Linked DNA regions of Macaca fascicularis. The protein of the gene in region 3 purifies or fractionates together with the protein of the main gene of each other region. This does not show direct contact. Links are inferred from orthologs where the notes say so. Each region holds a gene or a part of one and is shown on either strand. Other genes may lie near its edges.

Region 1 (5,017 bases), about 8.5 Mb from region 3:
ATTACAAAGATTAAGACATCAAGAAAATGGATGCCCTAAGAGTGAAGGGTGCTGGCCTAAACAACCCAACAACCTCTTACTCTATAATCTTCCAGACACATGTTATCAGTGGTCTAGGAATTCAATAAAGTTGAGAAGGACTCACAACTGTATCATGATAGCCAATCACTGAAGTGGCTATAAAACATTTGGAAAGAAACGTCTAAGAATCCATAAACGAGCAACCATGACTATGCTATTCAATTACCATTTACAACAATCAGGTTTCCCAGAGGCACACAGGTGAGAGTAGCGGAGCTGCCCTCACAGAGAGGATGCATGTACTGCAGCTTATACACCCCGCTCAACTTCCACTTCTCCGGCATGGACAGTGCTTTGGCTTCGGTGCCCTGGGGAACGAAATGAAAGGGAAACAAATAATGAAGAAAGGTGTTACTCTCAAAAAGATTAAAAATCCAAAAGACTCCTAACTTGTTTGAAATAATCATTCCACATAGTCCTCTTAATACAATGCATCATTAATATTGCCATTATATTTTATATTGTAGGATAATATATTACAACACTTTTAATCAAAATTTTTGTTCAAACAGGTAAAATTGCAATATGGAAACAGGGATTGATCTCTCTCTTCCAAGACTCACTTCTCTGCCTAGCAAAACCATATGATTATTTAAAACTCCAAAATAATCAAATATCACTTCCTCTGTAAAGCCTTTTTCAAAGAAAAATTTTTTGCCATTTCCTTTCGTCCCCTAACAGTCTATTCATATTTCCATTACACTTCAACTGTATTATTATCTATGTTTACTTGTGTTATTTCTGATTATCTTTTTATTTGTCTCTCTCCTCTATTTATGTATGGACTCCTTGAGGACAGGAAATATCCCAATGTTTTTATATCCTAATTTCTGGGTCAGTGCATGGCATGCTGCAGGTGTGCACTGATCACCGAATTACTCTATATCTTTTTAACTTATAACATGGCTCTCAGACCAGCAACATTGGTATTATGCAGGAGTATGAAGAAGTACATGGTCCATTCTACAGTTACTAAATCAGAATCTGCATTTTAATAAGGTCCCCAGGTATTCCAAAGCACATTAAAGTTTGAGAAGCAATATTCTAAATGTTCTCCTCCATGAATTCCTGGCATCCTATATATGAATATGTCTCTCCCAGAACTTCACCAATATAGCACAATGCTTTATATTTCTGTCTATCTCTGCCACTCTCAGACTATGGGCAACTTGACAGCAGGAACCATCCACATGTATGAGCAATTATAAGATGTTTGTGTTTTGCTTGCAGTACTTACCTGAGGCATGTAACCTGACTCCAACATGAGAAGATGTATCAACACTATCAAGGCATCATTGGCATCAGAACAGTCAGCTGATTGATACAAGGTCTCTAATGAATGTGGCACTTGCCCTTCCACCGATTCACTACAGAGCATGGGTTCTGAGGGATAGAAACCTGTGCCCTCTGCCATATCCTCAATATCTTGAATTGACTCAGCTTCAAAATTTTGACTAGGCCCTAACTGAAAAAGGAAAACAAAACAACGAATTAATTAAAAAGACTTATTTTTACACAATACTTTTTTGTATCCTAACGTGAACTAAGTGCTGAAAGTCAAAGTACATCACTGGGTTCAGAAATGGGAGACATTTTAAGTGAGTCCTTATAAATAAATAAGCCTGCGACCTACTCTTCCATCCTCAATTCCTCACCTGTTAATTCTAGCCGATATGTCAAAAACCTGGAAATCATCCTAGACTCCTCCCTCTACCTAACTAAACCTTGTCCCAAATCTGATCAGTCTTCAAAGTTCCACTGAAACTAACTCCTAAACATGTCTAAAAGTTGCCCCTTCCTGCTCCATTGGTACTTCAGACTCTCATCATGTATTTCCTGACATCCAGCAAGAGCTTCCCTTGCAAGTACCCCTTCTTCAACTTTGTTGTCTTCCAATACATCCCATCCCCTGCTGCCAGAGTTTTCTTGACAATTAAAAATCCGATCATGTACTATGTCCCAGCTTAAAATTCACCAGTACCTCCCCAACGCAGACAACAGCATTTCCCTCAATTGTGCCTTAGATGTTCTTAGGAAAAAAGGTGGTCCACATGGAATAAGTGTGGAAAATGCTACATGCTGCAGCCACCTAACTTCACCCTCCATATTCACAAAATACTATATTTGCATTACAAAAGCACTGAGGAGTCTAATAACAATAATAATAGTGTGTGCATAACACTTTACCAAAAAACTCCGTCTTCACCAGTCAGCATCCCTGTAACACCACCTCACGAAACTAGATTTTCAGAGGACACTGAGAAATGCAGGCCTACAAATGAAGCCCAAACTTCTAATTCCCTTCGCATACAGAGTCCTTCATCACCTGATCTCTGACTCATTACTAAGTTCACTTTCTGCCAGTGCCTTCTTACTCACCCCAATATTCTCCACTTCTTCAAAAGAGGTAACACAGACCACAACTCTGCCTTACAACGGCCTTGATTATTTAACCTTATCACACTGCACTGTACTGCAATTTTCTGATTACATATCTGCGTCCTTCCATGACTACAAGCTTATAAAAAAACAGACTACATGTCACCCATTTTTGTAACCCCAGTAAAGTACCTAGCACAAAGCAGGTATTCAATGTCTGCTGAACAAATGCTGAAGGATAATACCTTACAACTTCATAATGTCTTTATTTTCAAAATGTTTTCTTATTTGTACCTTATAACAATCCTGTAAAACAGGCATGGCAGGTATTGCCTTTTTATAGATCCTGTAATTATAAATCTGAAAGATTAAATAACATAATCAAGGTTATCAACTAATAAAAATTTGAAACGAACCCAGATCTCCAAACTTGCAGCTCAGGACTTTGAGATGAAAAAAAAAAAAAAAAACTAAGTTACCTGTATTAAGTTTGCTCAGAAAGCTTGTTTCCTAGGCATATGCCCAACTCTTAATGCAAAGCATAAGTTTCTTCTTTTTAGGGTTTGCATTTCCATTAAAGAAGGGGCAAAGGAAATTAAAATTACACAGTATATGTAAAAGGTTGGAGGAATGTAAGGGAGCCAGAGGTGACAGCTGTTCTTCCAAAATCTCTGAGGACCCAAGACCTGTGGCTTATGGAAAAGATCCAAAGTCACTTGTAAAAACCTAGAGGCCAATGAGAAGTCACACTACCCAAAAATGAGGTATGGCACAAAAATATTTCCGTATTTCCTGAGAAAATAGAAACAACTATATTAAAAACCACTTAACATCAAGCTAAACTATGGAACAATAGGTTTTGCTTCTTTACCACTATGTCTAACTTTTGGCCACTTACTACTTATTGGCAGTTGTGTGGGACAGAATATATGTGGAAAAATGAAAAAGAGTTACCCTAGGCTGAAGTACATGAGAGGGAGATATCAAAATCCCCTGCTGGGCTTGTCAAACCTTACTCCTACTCTATGGGAACTACTGACATTCTCTGGGCTATTCTGATATGAGTATTTATCAAATTCTTCACATGTGTGAAAATGAAAAAAAAATGATGAGCACCACACCTCTCTGAACAGATCATTTTGCCATATGTCATTTACAAAAGACTAAAACAAGTGACTAAGATGCATGAGAGCTAATATTATATTCTGATACCTGCTACCCGTTTCTCATTCAAGACTCAAGAGGTACTGGATGAATTCCCAAATATGACGAAATAAGAAAATTGATATTTAATTACAAGAGTAAAATTTACCTCCTATGGTTTCAAGTTTTACGCATCTATTTTCCTTTTCTAATGCTCCATTCTACATTACAGAGTGTAATGTACTTAAAAGCATTATTTATGAGATCTCGAGCTCAGTTTCCATACTCTTAAGGTTTTCCTGTCACCCTTTAAGGTCTTGGAATACAAAACAATATGCAAAATCTTAGAACTGAAATTAGTAACTTCAAGCAACATTAATTTCTCAAAATTTTCCAAAAGGAAACTAGCAAACTATCACAAATACTATGAAAAGTTTCATCTTACTAGACAATTTTAAAGTACACAGAAGTAAAAGTAATGGGCCCTACTAAGTTATCCCAGAACAAGCCTATCAGCAAAAAAGACTCAGAAACATAATTTAAATATACAGCAAAATATTCTTACTCATTCCCCAGTTTACCTCTGTGAGGCAGAAACACACTGATACAACAATAATTTTAAAAATAAACTAAAATCCACATATCTGGATATAATTTTCACAACTTACCAATCTATTAAAAAGTATTTTTTAATATGTCTATACTTAATGCCATGACAAGTTACCATGAATACTTATACCCAAAAATGTTTAAGGTCAGCAATTAAGTTGAGGTGATAAGTGTACATACAAAAAACAATTAACAAGATGGCACGTGTATTGGTATTAAAAAACTAAAAGTGATCATCTGCACCATTCAAACAATTAAAAGGTCGGATAAAGGCTGGGCATGGTGACTCATGTCTGTAATCCCATTACTTTGGGTGGCCAAGGTGGGTGGGTCACTTGAGGTCAGGAGTTCAAGACCAGCCTGAGCAACATGGTGAAACCCCATCTCTACCAAAAATACAAAAATTAGCCAGGCATGGTGGTGTCTGTGGTCCCAGCTACTTGGGAGGCTGAGGTGGGAGAATCACTTGACTCCAGAAGGGTAAGGTGGCAGTGAGCTGAGATTATGCCCTATACTCCAGCCTGGGTGAGAGAGTGGTACACTGTCACACAAAAAAAAAAGTGGGAAAAATGATGAGGCATGTACAAGGCAATAAAGATAATCAGATAATCAATACAAAGAAATTAAAGAAAACTATTGGGCTATGGTTGGCAAGGGCTTAGGAAGATGGGTAGAAAATATAGACAAGAGAGGGAGGAAAGGTAACAGGTTCCAGTCTGGGTGAACAGTAAGATCAAAGTCACAAAAGCAGTCACCAGGTTGTGTGTATGCAGATGCATGCAAGCAGGTGCATGTGCTGGCTGGT
Region 2 (3,805 bases), on a different chromosome or scaffold from region 3:
CCAGGAATACCCATTTTTGCTCTCAACTCCCATCCTTTTAAGGCTCTGACTCAGCACTCCTATCCTTCCTGAGGCCTTCCCCACCCATTAGACCATGTTATTATTATTATTTATTTTATTTTTGAGAGTCTCATTTTGTCACCCAGGCTGGAGTACAGTGGTGCAGTGGCACAATCTCGACTCACTGCAACCCCCGCCTCCCGGGTTCAAGCAGTTCTCTTGCCTCAACCTCCCAAGTAAGTGGGACTACTGGTGGCTGCCACCACACCCAGCTAATTTTTGTATTTTTAGTAGAGACAGGCCTTCACCATGTTGGCCAGGCTGGTCTCGAACTCCTGACCTCAAGTGATTCACCCACCTCAACCTCCCAAAGTGATGGGATTACAGGTGTGAGGCCGGATGCCCAGCCAGCAAGAGTTAAACTGAACTGATACAAAGAGAGAAAGTATCTCAGAATGACCCAGACAGGAAAAATTATATACAAAGTAACATCTGGTGGTTAATTTGAACCTGAAAAATTATATATAAAGTAACATCTGGTGGTTAATTGGAACCTAAGAATTAAATTCAAAGGGAAGCAGCCAGATCTTCTGGAACCAATGTGATCCAGAGGCTCCTAAACTTGTCTTTACTTTGCAGCTAGGTTCTAAGATTTAATCAGTTCTCAGCATGTTCACAAAAATAACTGTATAAGCTTAGGTCTCAGAAAGTGACGCTGCTGAGCTGGATTTTTTTTTCATATAATTTATTCTGCTGACAGTTTTATACGATGGCTGTCAATTCACCTCCTTCCATCTCATTTCGCACAAGTACATTACATCTCCAGCAGAACAATAATGTCTGTCTCCTCCATACTGAGACCAAGCTAATCAGGTCACACCTGTGCTGCTCACTCACGCTCACCCAATCCCTCCCTTCCAGCCACTCACTGTACCTGATGTCATGAGGCAAACAGGACTGGTCTAGGTTATATTGAATCACGGCCAGTTTGCACAGAGTCTTCAGACTAGGGCCTTTAAGGGAGAAGTTATGGAAAAGAGATGGTCAAAGGTGAGGAAAGGGTCCAGTCCTGGATATCACCACCCAAAGACAGGGACCTTGATGGCAGGAGCAATTCAGGAATAAGTAACTATACTTACTAAAGTCCAAAATGTGTAAGTCAGAATGATCTATGAGGTCAAATTCATCTCCCAGGCCTTCCTCAGGAGATGGACTGTCAGGATCAAAAGAGAGATGAAAGTAGGACAAAAACTACCCATGAGACCCCCTTTTCAAATACCTCCCACTCTCCCATTGGTCACTTCCCTGAGCCCTTCCCTCTCTCTTTCTAACCTGGTACCCCCAAAGAGGACAATCTTGTCACCAACAATACAGCAGCACTGGCGCCGGCGGGGACATGGCCCCTTCCCCTTCGGTTCAATCTTTTTCCAGGTAAAGGACACTGAAGAGAAATTTATATGGAAGTTCAATACCTGCCTAGTCCAGGTATCTTCCCCACCCCCATCCCTCACCTCCTCAGGATTATTTTCTTTTCCTCCCACCTCAATTGCTCCTTGTTCCTGCCCTAAACGCAGTGCTCTTTACCAGGATTAAACTTCCAGAGGTCATGGAAGTGCCGGTTCAGCCTTGCATTATAGCCACCAAAGATGTACAGCTCCCCATTGTAGCCAACTGGAAGGAGAGAGAAAACATCAAGAGTGTGAAGAGGGCAGGAAGGGAACTCCACATGGAAGTAACAAACACTCACAGGCCGAGTGGCTCCGGCGCCCCTCAGGCAGCACTGGAGTCGGGGGACAGTCCAGCCAAGCCTCAGTTCTGGTGTCAAAGACTCGAATGCGGTTGCAGTAAATCTCATTGTTGGAATGGAATGGCCCAAAGCGGTCGGCACGGCCCCCAAAGACGTACATGTGACTTCCCAGCATTGTGGCTGAGTGGAAGTCCCTCCAGCGTGCAGGGTTGCCCTGGGCAGAGGCAGAGAGATGGTGGAGGGGTCAGAACAAAGGCTGGAAGAGGATCTGCTCTGACTGAGCTTCCTATCATTTCTTCAACGGAGGGTGAGGATTTGGGAGAAAAAAGAAAGAGCAGACCTTTGTACAGATAAGAGTCCATGTCATGGTGCTGGTATCTAGCTTGTGAATGTCATTGGAAAAGCAGTCCGCCTGAGTAGGAAGAGAAAAGGAGGAAGAAAAGAGGGAGCCAACAGTCACTCTCTGACCCTCCATCCCTCCCCTCAAAACATGCAAACAAGCCAAAGCCTCCCATTTCACCATCCAAAATTGCCCTTCCCCTCTTTCTCAGTCCCACCCTAAACCTCTTAGTTTATTCCCAGACCTACCTGCTGCTCGTAGCCCCCGAAAATGTACATGATCTTGCCTAGGACACAGGCCGAATGTCCATCCCGGGCCCCAGGAACTGTCCCTGACACTCGGGGTGTGAACCACTTGTGAGTATCTGAAGGAGATGAGAAAATGGCTCAACTAAGCACCCTCTACAACACTCCCTCCTGAGCTCTGGGGTACTCTACTCCCCAAGACCCCAACCCAAACCTTTCTCAGGCAACTGAGGCAACATCTAGAAGGACATAGCCTCTCTGAGATCCATACTCACTGACGTCAAAGGCATACAGCACATTGCAGGCCCCTTCGGTGTCATTCCGCCCGCCCCAAAGGAGGACCGTGTCGTCAATGAGGACGGTTGAGTGTCCATAGCGCATGTAGGGTACGACAGGAGCTTGCCCACGGATGGCAGACTTCACCGGGGGCAGCTTTGTCCAACGCAAGGACACTGTGGACACAGCTCTGCTCAGCCCTGGGAACTTCCCTCCAGGCTGTCCACCTTTCCCAAACCAGATGTTCGTCCCCAATCCCCTTGGTCCCAGAGACCACAGCCAAACCTCATCAGCAGCCCGTTTCCCACCCTGATGTGGGGACTCAGGGACAGCCCCAGCACTGGCTTACCTGCATTGAAAATGTGCACATCTATCTGACGCAGCGTCTCATAGTCTTCACCAGAGCAGTAACCCCCGAAGGAGTATACCCGATGCCCGACAGCCACTGCAGCATGGTTCACCCTGCGGGGCCCGCCCTCCAGGTGCACTGTCCACCGTAACATCCCCTGGACCACTGGTTACAGCAACATGCCCCCCCGGCACGGCCTGCTGCCTCTGCTACCTGCACACAAATTGGGGCCACAGGATCCTCAGGCAAGGCTTCTGCCCAGCTCACTGTGACTCCGCCCAGAACCAGCCTTTGCCTCCAAGTGTCACCCTGGTGGCCCTCCCACACTACCCCTCCACAGGGACACTAGTCACAGCTCAGGTGGCTGGCCCTGCCCCAAGGGAGCTGCCGAGGTCAGGGAGCTAGCCCTGGCCCAGTGTTCTCCAACAGTGAAGGGTGGGGCCACCCCCACTTGATTGCCAGCTCAGAATCTGCTGATTATGGTCACCACCTACTCGTGGAGGCTCCACTCTGTCCCTGGCTTGGCACAAACTTGAAGCCCCTTCCCAAATGGTATATTCTCTTGTCTCTGCTCTGCTTACTGCCACCTCTCTAAGAATCTGTGTTCTTTAAGGTGGGGAAAGGGATCTCAAAATACTCACAGCTATTAATAGCCCAGCCAGCCTCAGACAGTCCATCGAAAGCTGGCATGAGTGCCTCAAAGCAGAAAAGCTTTCAGGCTTTTAGAGTAGAACAATCCCCCTACCCAGGATAGGGCGGGACTGATCCAGGAAGGGACCTCCATGTTACCTTGGTTGGTTAGCCCCTCACAGGGAGCTCTTGTCAAGCTGAGTTGTTGTCATTGGGGT
Region 3 (5,612 bases):
AAAAGTAACCTCTACTGTTCCTGGTGTGATCAACATTCTTGTTCCTTCTACTATAAGGACAGGAAATCAGTCCATCAAAGACTATAATCGGATCACTATGTGCTGACCACTACATGTAATAAAATATGTGGAGATTTAAATGAAATTTCTTTAGTGCAATCAATTACCTATTTAGATGTTGGCAATGATTTCCTTTTTATTATGTTTGGGCCTAACATACAAAATACTTACTCCTTAGGCTTCTTTCCTTTGTAAACAATGACCAGCAAAAATTAGCTCAGATAGACATTTTTTTTTTTTTTGAGACTCTGAGTCTCAAAAACTTTTTTTTTTTTTTTTCTTGAGACCCTGAGTCTCAAAAAAAGACTGTGAGTCTTGCTCTGTCGCCCAGGTTGTAGTGCAGTGGTGTGATCTCAGCTTACTGCCACCTCCACCTACCAGGTTCAAACAGCTGTCCTGCCTCAGCCTCTCAAGTAGCTGGGATTACAGACATGCACCACCACGCCCAGGTAATTTTTGTATTTTTGGTAGAGACGGGGTTTCACCATGCTGGTCAGGCTGGTCTTGAACTCCTGGCCTCAAATAATCCACCCGCCTCAGCCTCCCAAAGTGCTGGGTTTACAGGCATGCACCACCACGCCCGGCTAATTTCTGCATTTTTAATAGAGTATTTTTGCATTTTTAATAGAGTCGGGGTTTCACCATGTTGCCCGCCTTGGCCTCCCAAAGTGCTGGGATTACAAGCATGAGCCACCACGCCTCGCCTCAGATAGAATATTTTAGCTCAAAGTTTATTTTCCTCCTTTCAGTATTTCTACCTTTGAGTCTAGGTACAAGATGGGAGATATGCAGGAAGAATCAACAGTGCCTGTTGTCCACAATTAATTCTAAATGTGTCCCTGCCATCTTTAGATTGAGTAGATTTATTCTGAAAGCTGGGTATGCCTCCAGGACATCATAAAAAAACTACTCTATTTCAAACACACCAAAAGACTAGATACAGAAGACCGAGTGCTCAGAGTAGGCTTGATATCTGCTTGTGAAGAAGAAAATCGGTCACATCAAGATAGCCACAAGCTCTGCAACCTTCTCAACTTCCTCCCATCCTCCTCCAATTACTTACAAAGATCCATAATGTGGTTCCTGCAGATGGCACAGTTATCAACCACAATATCCCAGGCCCAGAGGGCTACTGCATTCCACTGCAAAGACAAAAAGAGGGAACAATGCATTCTCCTTATAACACACACACAGTTTTTAGGACTTCAGGCTGCAGTTGTAGTTATGATCTCTGGCCACAGGGAACCACCAAACAAAAGTTTTTGGATATTATGTTAATCTTATTATACCAAAGACAACAGTAGACAACACATACATTCTCCTATTCTCCAAAAGACTGAGTATATGAACACATAAATTAATGTCATCTTTTAATTTGTTTCCTGTAGTTTAAAACAATTTAGTCTGGCCGGACGCAGTGGCTCACGCCCATAATCCTAGCACTTTGGAAGGCTGAGGCGGGTGGATCACCTGAAGTCAGGAGTTCGAGACCAGCCTGGCCAATATGGCGAAACCCCGTCTTTACTACAAATACAAAAATTAGCCAGGCTTGGTGGCGGGTGTCTATAATGCCAGCTATTTGGGAAGCTAAGGCAGGAGAATCGCTTGAATCTGGGGGACAGAGGTTGCAGTGAGCCGAGATCGTGCCACTGCACTCCAGCCTGGGCGATGGAGTGAGACTCCATCTAAAAAAAAAAAAAAAAAAAAAGCACAAACTTGAATTTCTGTGCAGGTTTTGGTGGCAGTTGCAGAAGCGCTCAAAATCTGAATAAGTATCTGCTCTTCCAGGCAGCTTTGGAAGCATGAGCAATGAAGTGAAAGCTAGGGAACAGAATGAACTAAGATGATGACTGGATCATAAAACGGGTAATCGTGGGATAAGCTGGATAATTAACTGCCCATGTCAGTACACAGAACAAGGTCATCACTTAAATCTTAGATTACTTCATAACAAATTCTACAATTCACTAGAATTTTGTTCGATTCTTACCATAAAATAAACTGATGTTCTGAACTTTTATATGTTTAGACTCTTCTATTAAGATAATAATTCCAGTAAGAGTTTAACTAAAAGTGGCATTTCATTCATTCAACTCTGGTTTCCTCAATTACAAGTACTCCCAAACCTTCATCGCTTTCAAACCCCAGTCTCAGTGCCTAGTAACTTCTTCACCACTTTTCACATCACAGCTTCAACTTGGAGGAAAAGCCCCTACTTCTATTATTCTTCAATATGGCTGGCTGTAACTGAGCAGCAGTGGCCACAATGAGACACCAAAAAGCACTAGGAGGGGGGGATATTGTCAGTGTTTAGCCAGATGTTCCAGGAATATCTTCCCTATTTCAGAATCTCCATTTCGAATAGTTTTCATGTTAGGTGGGAATCGACACTTTTCTCCCAAACTGTGGCAAACCACTAAAATGCATTTCATGCAAAAGACACGTTCCATTTTTGCTTTCCCCTCTTACCAAGTCATTCGCAACTACTACTCAACCCTCCCGAAATGCCACAGGATTTGGGCTCGGATTTTCTTAACAAGTTCCACCGTGCTTTTTATTATTATTTCGGAAGGGGGAGATTCTGAACGTGACAGAGAATCCAAGAGTGGGGTGGTTGTGGGAAAAGCCAACAGACGTCTCAGAACACCCAAGCATTACACTCCAGACTCTAACTCGGCGGTGTGAGGCCCAGAGATGGGGTTAATGGAGGCCTCGGTTCAGCGAGGAACAAGTCTGATCCCTTCAAGTGAGAGGACCCCAAGCAAGCTTCAAAAAGGGGCGGAGCAAGATCACTAGCGGGGCTCCTCAGAGGCCTCCAATGCGGTAGGACCTCAGGTTCCAGGCTTTCGCCGCACTGCCCCATCCTCCACCGCCGCAGTCGCTCTGACTCCCCATTCCACCCACCCCACCCCACCCCACCCCACCCCACCCCACCCCACCCTACCTTCCCCCACCTCTCAACCACTCCAGTGACAGCTCAGGCGCTTGGCTCCCGCCGCCAAGTCGCAACCCCGCGTATCTCAACAAGCAGCTCTGTGATTGGCCCCTCAGCCTCACATCGAAACCAACACTTCCCCTGACAGTGGGCCGCCGTCACGCCGATCAACTCTAAGGCCCGCCCCCCGACTTCCTTTCGTGGTACCCGGTCCCAGGAACGCCCTAAAATGAAACCCTTTACTCCGCGCCTCGACCATCCTCGGGCCTGCCAGCCAGATCCGCGCCTCTCTAGCTTCCCTGAGGAAGGCGCTGGCGAGACCCAACCTTTTTCACTTCAAAGCGCTTCTTGCCCGCGCCGCTGTTGGTGCCGCTCGGGGTATCCACATCCATCGCTGCCGCCATTTTGGAAACACACGGTCTGTCGTCCGACCACCGCGCCTGCGCAGCAGCGCACACCTCGTTCCCCCAGCCTCCCCGGCACCTCCTCCCGCACCCCACCCCTTACTGGCGCGCGTGGGGGAGGTGGGGGCGGAGCACGTGACCACGCCTCTTAAAGGGGCTATCGCAGGTCGCCCCACCCGCGAAGTGTCGGCCGGGGAGGGGGCGGTGGCCGGAGTGGGTGGGGCGGGGCCGGGCGGGGCCGAGGCTACGTGAGCTAGCCTGGTAGAAACGTTCGAAAGGGCTCGAGGTCGCCGCCTCCTCTGGGAAGCCCCCGGCCGCACTCCATCAGCTGGGGCGGCGGCTGCTTCCTCCGCCTGAGTCGGACCTGCGCCGCAGTCCTGTCCTGCCTACCGGGCTCGCCCGGTCGCCGCGCGACTCCCATTGCTAGCCGGGGTGGGCGCCCGCCGCCTGCCCCGAAACCTGAGAGCCCTCGCTGGTCTTTCGCAGACTCTGACCCACCTCCGAGCCAGGCCCAAGGCGCAGTCCGCGTGGGAGGGCTGGGGCCCAGGCACCGTCTGGTCTCCGATTTCTGTTCGGGAACTGCTCAGGGATCGATGGGGAGAGAGGAGAGCCCCGAAGGTCCTCCCTAAGGCCAGACTGAGCAGGCCCCCAGTGCTGCCCTCATCCCCCCGCCAAGCCTGGAGGGTGGCCTCTGCGCCCGCTTAGTCGCAGTCCTAGGACCGCCTTTGGTCGTGGTGCGCGGTTTCACCGTGGCGTGTGTCAGTCCCCACTCCTCATTCCTCAGTTGTCATCTTGTGTAGGGTGATTTCTCCCCAGTCTGTGTCCTCTTTCCGCTACTTGTGCTATAGTGAAACCGACCCATCTGCAGTCGCTGTATTTCTTTAATTTTTGTGAAGCATTCTGACTTTTTGGGGTGTTTTTCTGAGACGGAGTTTCGCTCTTGCTGCCCAGGCTGGAGTGCACTGGCGCGATTTCGGCTCACTGCAACCTCCACCTCCCGGGTCCAAGCGATTCTCCTGCCTCAGCCTCCCTAGTAGCTGGGATTACAGGTGTCCGCCACCACGCCCGGCTCTTTTGTATTTTTAGTAGAAACGGGTTTTTACCATGTTGGCCAGGCCGGTCTCGAACTCCTGACCTCAGGTGATCCGCCTGCCTCGGCCTCCCAAAGTGCTGGAATTACAGGCTAGAGCCGATTTTTTTTTGTTTTAAATAGAGACAAGGTCTCACTCTGTTTCCCAGGCTGGTCTCGAACTCCTCGGCTCAAGCGATCCTCCCACTTCGACCTCCCAAAGTGCTAGGATCACAGGAGTGCGCCACCGCGCCCGACCCAAGCACCTGTACTTTGTGTCACTCTCCCATTTCTCGCTAGACCAGGACTCCCTTTGACATCTCTAACCTTGCAGAGGTATGACTCCGCCAGAGCACTCTTAGATCTGGTACAGGTGATTTGAAGCCTTTTATTTTCTCTTAAAAGATAACTGGAGAGTAATGGAGTGTGCTGACACTATTGCTAAAGAGAAAGAATTGGCCAGGCGCGGTGGCTCACGCCTGTAATCCCAGCATTTTGGAAGGCCGAGGCGGGTCGATCACCTGAGGTCGGAAGTTCGAGACCAGCCTGGCCAACATGGCGAAACTGCATCTCTACTAAAAATACAAAAATTAGCTGGGCGTGGTGGCACGCGCCTGTAGTCCCAGCTACTCGGGAGGCTGAGGCAGGAGAATCTCTTGAACCCGGGAGGCGGAGGTGACAGTGAGCTGAGATCGAGCCACTGTACTCCAGCTTGGGTGACAGAGTGAGACTCCGTTCCCAAAAAAATAATAATAAAAGAGAAAGAATTGCCATTTGTTTATTTGTTAGTCATAAACAGGCACAACAGATCCGGGAAAACACCACCACAGCTTTATCCAGACTTGGAAAGAAAAATTGTGTGAGACAGACCTTAAAGGGCTACAAGAACCCTACAAAGTTTTTTTTAGCCCAAGTTGTAATGACTTTATGTTAAAATTTCTGTTGTTAATTTATTGTGCGCCTACAGTCCCTGACAGGAATACTAGAAACCCATTGTAAATTAAGGTATTGAGGACATACTTATCCATCATTCAACAAAAGTATTGATATTTACCAGGTTCTATTTTAAACAGAAGAGACATAATAACAGTCAACCCCCTAGTTAGGGAATAAGACACAAGTCAACAAATAAATACATCAGGAA

Evidence for each region. Proteins that work in one complex are often made in the same cells at the same time.
Region 1: the proteins of RBX1 (region 3) and FBXO7 purify together in Homo sapiens (affinity purification with mass spectrometry; 5 studies listed by BioGRID and IntAct, with this or other methods). This does not show direct contact. The link is inferred for Macaca fascicularis from reciprocal best matches to the Homo sapiens genes RBX1 and FBXO7.
Region 2: the proteins of RBX1 (region 3) and KLHDC3 purify together in Homo sapiens (affinity purification with mass spectrometry; 3 studies listed by BioGRID and IntAct, with this or other methods). This does not show direct contact. The link is inferred for Macaca fascicularis from reciprocal best matches to the Homo sapiens genes RBX1 and KLHDC3.

Annotation. Positions count from the first base shown.
Region 1 is NC_088384.1:19,142,081-19,147,097, forward strand, and holds part of FBXO7 (F-box only protein 7), read right to left. Parts: intron 1,547-5,017; coding exon 1,319-1,546; intron 390-1,318; coding exon 248-389; intron 1-247. UniProt on the Homo sapiens protein: Substrate recognition component of a SCF (SKP1-CUL1-F-box protein) E3 ubiquitin-protein ligase complex which mediates the ubiquitination and subsequent proteasomal degradation of target proteins and plays a role in several biological processes such as cell cycle, cell proliferation, or maintenance of chromosome stability.
Region 2 is NC_088378.1:128,512,485-128,516,289, forward strand, and holds part of KLHDC3 (kelch domain-containing protein 3), read right to left. Parts: intron 3,171-3,805; 5' UTR 3,112-3,170; coding exon 2,958-3,111; intron 2,785-2,957; coding exon 2,608-2,784; intron 2,452-2,607; coding exon 2,336-2,451; intron 2,160-2,335; coding exon 2,088-2,159; intron 1,962-2,087; coding exon 1,748-1,961; intron 1,672-1,747; coding exon 1,585-1,671; intron 1,442-1,584; coding exon 1,333-1,441; intron 1,214-1,332; coding exon 1,140-1,213; intron 1,014-1,139; coding exon 935-1,013; intron 1-934. UniProt on the Homo sapiens protein: Substrate-recognition component of a Cul2-RING (CRL2) E3 ubiquitin-protein ligase complex of the DesCEND (destruction via C-end degrons) pathway, which recognizes a C-degron located at the extreme C terminus of target proteins, leading to their ubiquitination and degradation.
Region 3 is NC_088384.1:10,678,715-10,684,326, forward strand, and holds the start of RBX1 (E3 ubiquitin-protein ligase RBX1), read right to left. Parts: upstream 3,425-5,612; 5' UTR 3,400-3,424; coding exon 3,322-3,399; intron 1,203-3,321; coding exon 1,124-1,202; intron 1-1,123. UniProt on the Homo sapiens protein: E3 ubiquitin ligase component of multiple cullin-RING-based E3 ubiquitin-protein ligase (CRLs) complexes which mediate the ubiquitination and subsequent proteasomal degradation of target proteins, including proteins involved in cell cycle progression, signal transduction, transcription and transcription-coupled nucleotide excision repair.